Linked DNA regions of Daphnia pulex. Each later gene encodes a partner of the first gene's protein in a complex. Links are inferred from orthologs where the notes say so. Each region holds a gene or a part of one and is shown in the gene's direction. Other genes may lie near its edges. The genes, in order: U5 small nuclear ribonucleoprotein 200 kDa helicase-like, pre-mRNA-processing-splicing factor 8 and spliceosome-associated protein CWC27 homolog.

Region 1 (3,752 bases):
TCAACGCGCATTGATGAAGGCGAGGCCGATCGCTATACCGGCACGTGTCCGCAGCATTTCATGGTCTTCCGGTTACGGATATGGCTCGGTAAGTTGCCACGCCCTACTAAACTACACGACCGTGATCAATGTCAATTATAGATTTTCACTAATTTTTTAAAATTTATTTGTTATTATTCTAGAATGCGCTCAAACAGGCCAAAGTGGTTGTGTCGCCCAAAACGTCTCCTTCACCGGCGCCCCCACTAGCGCCACCATCTACTACCGGAGCTTCGGTCTTTACAGTCAAGAGCAGTCCCGTTCGTCGGCCCCGCGGCGAGGCCAAAAAGTGCCGCAAGGTTTACGGAATGGAACACCGCGAGCAGTGGTGCACTCAATGCAAATGGAAAAAGGCTTGCACTCGCTTCGGCGAGTGAAACAAATGACTATACCACACCCCAATGTGTACGTATATATATACTATTTAATCCTTTCCGAGAAAAAGAAAAACAACCGCTCGGATTTCCGACTGTAGAAATTTAATCCGTTTTCCGCTTGATTTTGACATGGAACAAACGTCTCCCCTCCTTTTTCTTTGTCTGATTGTGTTTTGTTGTTTCATGGCTATTTTTCTTTTTATTGTTGTCGACAGGAAATTTTTTTTTAAATTTTGATGTCTGGTGCTGGATGTATTGCGGAATAGGAGCCAAGTTTTTGTGCGGATGACGGATCTCAAAAGATCTATGACACTTGGCGCGCTGGGCGGTTGATATTGTTTGAAACCATTTTTACTTGCGGGCAACTTTTTGACAAAAGACAAAAAAACGTTTTGACTTTATTTTTTATTTTTTTAATTATTATTGGCTTTCGTATTTGTTATGACAAATTCATGCCGGAGCGTGTTGTTGTGTGTGCATAATTTTCGTTGTGAAGATGCAGTGTTGTTTTGTATCTTGCCACTGACCAGGCTGCCGTAGCTCAGTGACGATTTCTCTGACTGGTGTCGTTATTACCTCTCGTACAACATCATTGAAAAAATATTGTTTTCATCCCTATGTCCCACCTCATATCTGCGTTACTCTCAAAAAAGCTTTGTACAGCGTTAGATGGCTTTTTTCTCTACCAATGTTTCTTTATTTCGTCGATTTAGAGTTATTTTTGCAATAACGCTGCGTGAATTTTAACGTTTATAGATTTACCCTATTTAGACCTGATTTTGTTTTTCCATCTCCTTTGTAGTTCGCATAGTGGGGGGTTTTGTTTCTGTGTTTTTTTCTCATTTCATTCTCAAGACCGATGGACTTTTGAAAAATGTTTGGTTTTTTCTCCTTACAAAAATGGTGTTTTAGTTTCTTAATTGCTTTTTTTCTGTATTTTTTTTATCCCTTTTTTCGCGCGTGTCGACCCAGAGTTTTATGGCGAGATTTTTAAATTTTTCAATATACAAATTTCCTCTCGAATTCTGAATTTTGTTTTATTACAAACTGGCAACGCTGTCAATTGCCTGTTCGAACAGCATACGAAACTTTCGTCAGTGTCTAAAAGCAAGCCGTAAGAAATGGCGGACGCCGCAGCACGTTCGCTCCAGTACGAGTATAAAGCCAATTCTAATTTGGTTTTACAAGCTGACGTTCGTTTAATCGATCGCCGAGCACGAGATGAAGCCACCGGTGAGGTTATGTCCCTTACTGGGAAGTTGGAAGGAACTCGCATGGGTGACAAAGCCCAACGGATGAAACCGGCAAAACGTCAGAAGCGTGATCCCAACAAAACTGATATTGGTGGTAAAAATGGTGGAAAAGGACCTTTGCAAAGCGACAACCTGGATGAAATCTCTGGCATCATCTACAGGCCCAAAACGCAGGACACCAAACAGACTTACGAAGTGCTTCTCAGTTTTATTCAGGAAGCGTTGAGTGATCAACCCAGAGATGTGTTGTGTGGTGCTGCTGATGAAGTCCTCACGGTTCTCAAGAACGACAAGCTCAAGGATAAGGAGAAGAAAAAGGAAACAGAGGCTATGCTTGGCTCCTTGCCAGAAGAAAGATTTGCCCTGCTCGTTAACCTGGGTAAGAAGATCACAGATTGGGGCCAAGACGAGAAAATGGGTACTGGAGAAGAGCAAATGGACGACCAGTATGGCATCAATGTGCAATTTGAAGACACAGACGAAGAAAACGAAGAAGAAAATGTGTATGGAGAGATTGGAGAAGAAGATGACGGTGAGGATGAAGCTGATGAAGCTGAAACAGACCATGCCATTCATGCTGATGCTGTCGCAAGTGGCGTCGATTTGGGCGGTAAAAAAGAGAAGAAATTGCATCCCCTCGATATTGATGCCTATTGGCTTCAGAGGAAGCTGTCAAAGTTTTACAGTGACCCCATGGTGTCTCAAGCCAGAGCCGGTGAAGTCCTCAACATCCTCAAGAATATCCAGGATGAAAGAGAATGTGAAAATCAGCTAGTTGTCTTGCTTGGTTTTGACTGCTTTGACTTCATCAAGCTGCTTAAACAAAACAGACACATGATTCTTTACTGTTCGTTACTGGCATCCGCACAGAGCGAAGCTGAACGTCGAAGCATTCAAGACGAGATGAAGAGCAATCCCCATCTGAACAAGATCCTTCGACAATTAGATACTGTGAGGGACGACACTGGAATCGAACCGATGGAAGTCGATTTTAAAAAGAGTTCACGTCAAGGTACTTCTGCCTCCAAAGAAGTCGGAGGTGGAGGACAGGAAGGGTACAGTGGCATTCCAGGTCTTCGAGAGCTACTGGACTTGGAGGATCTTGCATTCGCTCAGGGCTCTCACTTCATGGCCAACAAAAAGTGTACACTTCCAGAAGGTATAATAATTTAGTTTCTCATCTTTTAATTTCAATCAAAATTTAAACATGGACTTGTATTGCAGGTTCTTTCCGAAAACAGCGTAAAGGCTACGAAGAAGTTCATGTGCCACCATTGAAACCTAGGCCTTTTGATGCTGATGAAATGCTTATTCCTATCGATAAACTTCCAACCTACGCCCAACCAGCTTTCGAAGGATTCAAAACGCTCAACAGAATCCAGTCTAAAATCTATAAAACAGCTCTCGAATCGGATGAGAACATGTTAATTTGCGCCCCAACCGGCGCCGGCAAAACCAACGTGGCTTTGTTGACAATGATGAGAGAATTGGGCAAGTACATCAATCCGGACGGAACAATTCGCGTTGATGAATTCAAAATCATCTACGTTGCACCCATGCGTTCGCTCGTACAAGAGATGGTGGGCAGTTTTGGCAAAAGACTGGCGCCTTTCAACCTGAAAGTTGCCGAATTGACGGGCGACCATCAACTCAGCCGTGAAGAAATTGCACAAACTCAGGTGATTGTCTGCACGCCCGAAAAGTGGGACATTATCACTCGCAAATCAGGAGACCGAACCTACACGCAACTGGTCAAGTTGATGATCTTTGACGAAATTCACTTGTTGCACGACGACCGTGGTCCAGTTTTGGAAGCCTTGGTAGCTCGTACTATCCGCACCGTCGAATCCACTCAAGAAGATTTGCGATTGGTGGGTCTTTCTGCCACGCTTCCCAATTACGAAGATGTGGCCACTTTCTTGCGTGTCCGACCCAAGACGGGTCTATTCTTCTTCGACAACAGCTACCGCCCTGTACCCTTGGAACAGCAGTACGTTGGAATCACGGAGAAGAAAGCTGTTAAGCGTTATCAGATTATGAACGAAATTGTATACGAGAAGGTAATGGAGCACGCCGGCAAGAA
Region 2 (3,395 bases), on another chromosome or scaffold:
AGAGTCGATGAAGTACAAGAAGTTGACTAATGCCCAGCGTTCCGGTTTGAATCAAATTCCCAACCGTCGGTTCACTCTGTGGTGGTCGCCAACCATCAACCGAGCCAACGTCTACGTTGGTTTCCAGGTCCAACTCGATTTGACTGGCATTTTCATGCACGGCAAAATCCCGACGTTGAAGATTTCCTTGATTCAAATTTTCCGTGCCCATTTGTGGCAGAAGATCCACGAATCCGTCGTGATGGATCTTTGTCAAGTTTTCGATCAGGAACTTGACGCTTTGGAGATTGAAACTGTGCAGAAAGAAACTATTCATCCCCGTAAATCTTACAAGATGAACTCTTCCTGCGCCGACATCCTTCTCTTCGCCTCGTAAGTGGAACTTATTTTTCTGTCTTGTGTTTTCCTTGTTGTAATATTTGTTACATGTTCTTCATTTTGTTTTTTCAGGTACAAGTGGAACGTTTCTCGGCCATCCCTTTTGGCTGACTCTCGTGATGTCATGGACAATACCACCACACAAAAATACTGGATTGATGTCCAGCTGCGTTGGGGCGATTACGATTCCCACGACATTGAACGTTATTCTCGTGCTAAATTCCTCGACTACACGACAGACAACATGTCCATCTATCCGTCGCCGACTGGTGTCCTGATTGCCCTGGATTTGGCCTACAATTTGCACAGTGCATACGGCAATTGGTTCCCTGGATCCAAGCCGCTTATCCAACAAGCCATGGCGAAGATCATGAAGGCCAATCCTGCTCTCTACGTCTTGCGCGAACGTATCCGCAAAGGTCTCCAGCTGTATTCTTCTGAGCCGACGGAACCTTACTTGTCATCGCAGAATTACGGCGAATTGTTCTCCAATCAAATCATTTGGTTCGTCGATGATACAAACGTCTACCGTGTCACGATCCACAAGACCTTCGAAGGCAACTTGACGACCAAACCCATTAACGGAGCCATTTTCATCTTCAATCCTCGTACTGGTCAGCTTTTCCTCAAGATTATTCACACGTCCGTATGGGCCGGTCAGAAGCGTTTGGGTCAGCTGGCGAAGTGGAAGACTGCCGAAGAAGTTGCCGCCCTGATTCGATCGTTGCCCGTGGAAGAACAGCCCAAACAGATCATCGTCACACGAAAGGGCATGTTGGATCCCCTCGAAGTCCATTTGCTGGATTTCCCCAACATTGTCATCAAGGGCTCTGAGCTCCAGCTTCCCTTCCAGGCCTGCCTTAAAGTCGAGAAGTTTGGTGATTTGATTTTGAAGGCGACCGAACCCCAGATGGTCCTGTTCAACCTCTACGACGATTGGCTGAAAACCATTTCCAGCTACACGGCATTCTCCCGTCTTATTCTTATTCTGCGCGCCCTTCACGTGAACAATGACCGAACCAAGGTGGTGCTGAAACCGGACAAGACCACCATCACCGAAGCCCACCACATTTGGCCCTCACTGACGGACGAGCAATGGATCAAAGTTGAAGTGCAACTCAAGGATCTCATCCTGGCGGATTACGGCAAGAAGAACAACGTCAACGTGGCTTCGCTGACACAGTCTGAAATTCGAGACATCATTCTCGGTATGGAGATCAGTGCCCCTTCGGCCCAACGTCAGCAGATTGCCGAAATCGAGAAGCAGACCAAGGAGCAGACGCAGCTGACAGCTACGACGACACGAACAGTCAACAAACATGGTGACGAAATCATCACGAGCACCACTTCCAATTACGAGACGCAGACATTCAGCTCCAAGACCGAATGGAGAATCCGAGCCATTTCGGCCACCAACCTCCACCTCCGAACGAATCACATTTACGTTTCATCGGACGACATTAAAGAGACGGGCTACACTTACATTCTACCCAAGAACGTGCTGAAAAAGTTTGTCACCATTTCCGACTTGAGAGCGCAGATTGCGGGATACCTTTACGGCATCAGTCCACCTGACAATCCTCAGGTGAAGGAGATTCGCTGCATTGTGATGCCGCCTCAATGGGGTACGCATCAGTCGATCCACTTGCCCGTCCAACTACCCCAGCACGAGTACCTCAAAGACCTGGAGCCACTCGGCTGGATGCACACTCAACCCAATGAGTTGCCGCAACTGTCGCCACAGGATATTACAACTCACGCCAAAGTGATGGCCGACAATGCCAATTGGGATGGCGAGAAGACTGTGATCATTACGTGCAGTTTCACACCTGGCTCTTGTTCGCTCATGGCCTACAAGTTGACGCCCAGCGGCTTTGAATGGGGCAAACAGAACACGGATCGCGGCAACAATCCCAAGGGTTATCTACCGTCACATTACGAGCGAGTGCAAATGTTGTTGTCCGATCAATTCCTCGGCTTTTTCATGGTCCCTTGCCAGGGCTCGTGGAACTACAATTTCATGGGTGTTCGCCACGACCCTAACATGAAGTATGAACTTCACCTGGCCAATCCAAAGGAGTTTTATCACGAGGTTCATCGGCCATCGCATTTCATGAATTTCTCCTCCATCGAGGAAGGTGACAGTGTCGGAGCAGATCGTGATGACTCGTTCGCTTGATTTTCTTGATTTTTTTTTTGTATGGTCTTTTTTCGTTTCCATCCGGGGCCCGTTCCCAATACATAGCCGGAGAAAATAGAAAATAATATGTTTGGGAACTCATGAAATCAAGCTTTGTGTTTTGCTTCCCAATTCTTATAACTTGAAGTTTTTTTCATGTTTTAATGTACTTTCTGTTTGATTCGATTTAAACAGAATACAATAGAGCAAACATTTTATTTCCGTCTGCAACGTTTAATTTGTTTCCATTGCATTCTGTTCCATATCTGCCTTGATCTGAAGTTACTATCGATCAAGAGAGCATCCTTTTGTACTTTACACAACTTAACGAATTGATTAGCTTACGAATAATTAAGTCCTAGAAGTTAAAACAACGAAATCAGCCAAGAGCTAATACTTAATCAATTTCAGTTTGTTTTTCTAACCCTTCCTCTCCCCACCCAGAGTTCTTTTAATGCACAGGTGAAAAATATTACTTTTTAAGATGCAACCTTGAATTGATTACCATAACCCTTAAAAAAAATTTATTCCCCATTTTGTACCTTTTAAGGGGTTAGCAAAACCGCCTACTGAGACAGTTCTCTTATTGACGTGGTCTTGTGAACACGGACAGTTGCAGACTTGCAGGGCAGTTTCGCAGTCCTGCTTGTATTCCAACAGTGATCATCATGCCTCGTTATTTCAGTTCTGTAGCTTTATTTTTTGCGTTCAACAACAGTAGCCTGTGTTGCAAGTTAACTAAATGCTGTTGCGGTTGTTCACTTCAAACAGGAAGCAAAGTTATTGGAGTTTTATCTTTGGTATGCCATCTATAACACACAGCTTTCAGAAGTTTTCA
Region 3 (3,752 bases), on another chromosome or scaffold:
ACTCCCCATTTGTATGCGCGGTTGTCTCAGATATATTTGTTTAAGGTTTACAATGATTGTTACGGAAAAACCCCAAAATAGGTGAAAAAGTCTAAAATTTGTCAGCCTGCCATACGTTCAGTGTGTCATGTCGCGTCATCGTCCGATAGGCGTTTCATCCGGCTTCATCCTCATCACGTTCACACGGTACTTGCGTTTCCTCTTGCTATTCGATTTTGTTGCGGTTGTTGTTCTGAAGCCTCCGTAAAGTTGCTTGCTAATTACATGCTAATAATAAGTATCGCAGCAGCAGATTCGTTTACCAAATTGGGAGAAAATAGAATTTGGAGAAAGCAGGCCATACTTTTATTGTTTGGTACATTGTGGTCATAGCTTCATCCATGACTTGGTTTGTCCTATTCCTTAGTCAATTAATAACCTTCAGCTAAAATACACAACTTTCCAAAAAAGAAACTGAATTTTCGTCTTTGCCTACTAAAAGTAGGTCGGGTTATTAAAAAAAAAAATTCCAGATTTCATAAAAGAAAATTTGTCAGGTTGATCGCGGTAAAGTTTAAGTTTTTAAATCTAATGTTTAAAATATATTTATTGTAATAAAAATACTCTTAGCACAGTAGAAAACAAGATACAAAGGCTTTCCTCACACTTTAGATTTTTCAGTTTCTATACCTAAAACAAAACGCAATTGAGATATTATAGCGGTAGGAATAGGAAGATGAGGAAAAAGGGTTTCTAGATCAAATTAAGGGTATGGAGCTATCCAGCAGATTTTTAATTTTTTACAGAAATGCAGATTTCAGTTTTGGGACATCACAGTTGAAATCCTGATCCCAAATTTTAAGAGAAAAATAATTAAAATGAATTTATTAACTAATTATTTCATGAGTGATAAAGAAATAGTTGGGAGAGATTTTTTGAAATTCCAAATCAGTAAATCACGAGCTTAGTTCTATGTGTGTCCTATAAGGAAATCTATTTTTACTAAATCCATACGATACAACGATAGTTATCGAATAAGACTGAAGATAAGTGAATTTTTCCGTCAGAAACTCAGAATTCAAGAGCGATAAATGTATGAGTATGGCCAGCATAGTATCAGGCAACTCTTATTTACAGTGCGTTGCAATCGTCTGCCACCAGTAGCGCTGTGAGTCGAAAGGATAAAATGGTTTGTTTGTTTAAAAAAAAACCAAACACAGTTCGCTCGAACTAGCAGCCAACAACTCCGAACTAGACATAGAACTGACATAGATGCTAGATTGCTACTACTACTAGCTTTGTCGAGCTACACATTACCTCTGCACATTATACACATCAAAACACGGAATTTTAATTAGTTTCATTTTGATTTTCTTCCTTTTTCTCCTCGATTTACAACAATGAGTAACATATACGTTCAAGAACCACCAACAAATGGAAAAGTTTGTATTCTTTTCATGTATCATTGATTGAACTACGTGCTAAAACGTAACTTTTGTTTAGGTTGTTGTGACTACTTCTCTAGGAGAAATTGAAATAGAACTGTGGAGCAAAGAATGTCCAAAGGCTTGCAGAAATTTTGTTCAACTATGCCTTGAAGGATTTTTCAATGGAACAATTTTTCACCGAGTGGTACCAAATTTTATTGCTCAAGGAGGAGATCCTTCTGGTAAAACTTAATAATGTGATCTGTTGTTATTTATATTTGATTGAAACAATTACCACCCCTTTTTCTTAGGGACTGGCCATGGTGGTGAAAGTATTTATGGGGAACCATTCAAGGTTACATAGTATTCATTTGAATAGAATTCATTATTTCAGTCTTTATTAACCTTTTACAATCTTTTGGTATTCAGAACGAAGTTCATTCACGTCTACGATTTGTCAGAAGAGGTAAAGCAAACATCTTCTGTGTTTTTATTACATAATGTACCATTTCAAACATCTTTTTAAGGATTGGTTGCAACGGCTAACACTGGAAACAATGACAATGAATCACAGTTTTTTTTTACCTTGGGTTCTTGTCCGGAACTGCAAAATAAGCACACAATTTTTGGTAGGGTTGCTGGGAATACTTTGTTCAACATGGTAACTGACAATTTGTTAATTACGCTGGGAACAAATTATTCAAGAAATTCTAATGTACAATTTTTTCTCTTTCTCATAGATCAAATTTAATGACTTGGATATTGATAGTGTAAGTATATTTAAATTTTGAAACTCAAATAATAAAATAATAAAATCAATAAAATCATAAACGCTATAGGAAGATAGACCTCGTCATCCACCTAAAATTTTTAAAACAGAAGTTATTTCTAATCCATTCCCTGACATTGAACCAAGGATTAGCCAAGAAAATATCAAGAAACCAGAGGAAATAAAATCTAAAATAAATAAAAAAAAGTATTAAGTCCAGCTATGTAATATTGTTATAACTGCTATAAGAGCTTGTGTTTGATTCTGTAGGAATCTTCAGCTGCTTTCCTTTGGGGACGAAGAAGAAGATGAAACAGATGTTCATCAGCCAACTAAGTCTTTTCGTGGGAAATCTTCTCATGAACTGACTAACGACCCTAAACTTAGCATTGTTCCTGCAGTCAACGTAGAAACGGGGTTAACAAATAAGTACGTTTAATAGAACAAGCCGTCAGATCATTTTCAAAGACTGTGTATGGTCTACATTCATATGTAAAATTTCCATGTCATATTTTCAGCGACAAACCGACAAAAATTGAACGGCAATTTGAAAAGGTTGTGCCTCAAACTGATTTGCAACCAGAAGTATCACCTGAAAGTGTAGATGTTGACATTTCGAACCAAAAGAAATCTGAAGCAAACAACAAACTGTAAGAAACAAACAAGTCATAACAATTACTTGATAGTTATGCTCATAAGTAAATGCTTTACTTTTAGAAAGCAAATCAAAGAACAGATAAGAGACTTGAAAAGGGAAATGAAAAACCCAAGTGAAACTCCTCAAGATCAAGAATTATCTAAGAAAAGAAAAATTAGCGACAGTGAAGAAGATAATGAAATACTTAAAGATTTTCATGAGCAGCAGAAGAAGTATGCGGACATAAAAACAACACGGCGAGGAAAGGGTAAATAGATCAATTGTTTAAAATATTTGTTACCTCATCATATCATCAACAAGTTTTAATATTCTATTTGGAATAGGCACGGACCGAGAAGCTGAAACCCTTAATTTCCTTAAAAAATTTCAGAGTAAGCTTAGCCAAACTCGGACAACGAAAGGAGGCGTTGATGATATTGATGACGTAAACGATGATGATGCATGGTGAGAAATAATTTTTTATCCCTATAAATTTGAAAATTGCAGAATTTCTTTATTTCTTTCTAGGTTGAATCACACGTTGAAATTCGAAGACAAAAATCCTTCGTTAGCCCGAGATGCTAATACAAAAAGTGATGATTGGTTTGAAATCTACGATCCCCGTAACCCCTTAAACAAACGAAGAAGAGAGGAATCAAAGAAGATCATGAAAGAGAGGAAATTCAACTAAAAACTAAAAATGATCTCCAGTTTTGAAATGCACATATAAAACTCACCTTTGTTTGTTAATCTCACCAATTTCTCTTTGATTCAACGAGCTTGAAAATCAGAAACAAATGTCACTTAGGCTTGCTGGAACATAAACTTGTGTGTCAATTGTAGCCAAAGTAGTCTGCACGCGTAAAGGAATTGTTATGTAAAGGAAAATTCTCCAAAATTTTTCGTGGGATCAATATAAACGGGATTGGTCACGAACGGT

The links.
Region 2: the proteins of U5 small nuclear ribonucleoprotein 200 kDa helicase-like (region 1) and pre-mRNA-processing-splicing factor 8 are in contact, whole or in part, in a cryo-EM structure (PDB 7OS2), measured with the Homo sapiens proteins. The link is inferred for Daphnia pulex from reciprocal best matches to the Homo sapiens genes SNRNP200 and PRPF8. Residues at the interface, in NP_054733.2 of Homo sapiens: Pro543, Met544, Arg545, Ser546, Thr570, Gly571, Thr589, Glu591, Lys592, Ile595, Arg624, Arg728, Lys729, Glu773, His786, Ala787, Thr814, Glu837, Tyr992, Thr1008, Ser1010, Ile1012, Leu1041, Glu1042, Arg1043, Val1044, Pro1045, Ile1046, Pro1047, Val1048; in NP_006436.3 of Homo sapiens: Trp2073, Arg2074, Ala2077, Ile2078, Ala2081, His2084, Asn2109, Lys2113, Tyr2168, Glu2171, Met2172, Arg2266, Leu2268, Gly2269, Phe2270, Gln2276, Arg2287, Leu2298, Ala2299, Asn2300, Glu2303, Glu2307, Arg2310, Pro2311, His2313, Phe2314, Leu2315, Asn2316, Phe2317, Ala2318.
Region 3: U5 small nuclear ribonucleoprotein 200 kDa helicase-like (region 1) and spliceosome-associated protein CWC27 homolog share a complex: the UniProt entries of both Homo sapiens proteins name them as parts of the minor spliceosome. The link is inferred for Daphnia pulex from reciprocal best matches to the Homo sapiens genes SNRNP200 and CWC27.

The regions. Positions count from the first base shown.
Region 1 is NC_060022.1:2,647,135-2,650,886, reverse strand, and holds the start of U5 small nuclear ribonucleoprotein 200 kDa helicase-like, read left to right. Parts: upstream 1-1,492; 5' UTR 1,493-1,537; coding exon 1,538-2,828; intron 2,829-2,835; exon of another isoform or gene 2,836-2,841; intron 2,842-2,893; coding exon 2,894-3,752. Other genes in the region: zinc finger protein 704-like, read left to right, coding at 1-88, 183-416. UniProt on the Homo sapiens protein: Catalyzes the ATP-dependent unwinding of U4/U6 RNA duplices, an essential step in the assembly of a catalytically active spliceosome. Plays a role in pre-mRNA splicing as a core component of precatalytic, catalytic and postcatalytic spliceosomal complexes.
Region 2 is NC_060027.1:2,056,626-2,060,020, forward strand, and holds the end of pre-mRNA-processing-splicing factor 8, read left to right. Parts: coding exon 1-372; intron 373-450; coding exon 451-2,557; 3' UTR 2,558-2,775; downstream 2,776-3,395. UniProt on the Homo sapiens protein: Plays a role in pre-mRNA splicing as core component of precatalytic, catalytic and postcatalytic spliceosomal complexes, both of the predominant U2-type spliceosome and the minor U12-type spliceosome.
Region 3 is NC_060020.1:8,996,565-9,000,316, forward strand, and holds spliceosome-associated protein CWC27 homolog, read left to right. Parts: upstream 1-984; 5' UTR 985-1,379; coding exon 1,380-1,421; intron 1,422-1,482; coding exon 1,483-1,648; intron 1,649-1,717; coding exon 1,718-1,761; intron 1,762-1,835; coding exon 1,836-1,872; intron 1,873-1,933; coding exon 1,934-2,067; intron 2,068-2,146; coding exon 2,147-2,176; intron 2,177-2,245; coding exon 2,246-2,382; intron 2,383-2,445; coding exon 2,446-2,604; intron 2,605-2,693; coding exon 2,694-2,825; intron 2,826-2,892; coding exon 2,893-3,080; intron 3,081-3,156; coding exon 3,157-3,277; intron 3,278-3,340; coding exon 3,341-3,503; 3' UTR 3,504-3,548; downstream 3,549-3,752. UniProt on the Homo sapiens protein: As part of the spliceosome, plays a role in pre-mRNA splicing. Probable inactive PPIase with no peptidyl-prolyl cis-trans isomerase activity. As a component of the minor spliceosome, involved in the splicing of U12-type introns in pre-mRNAs.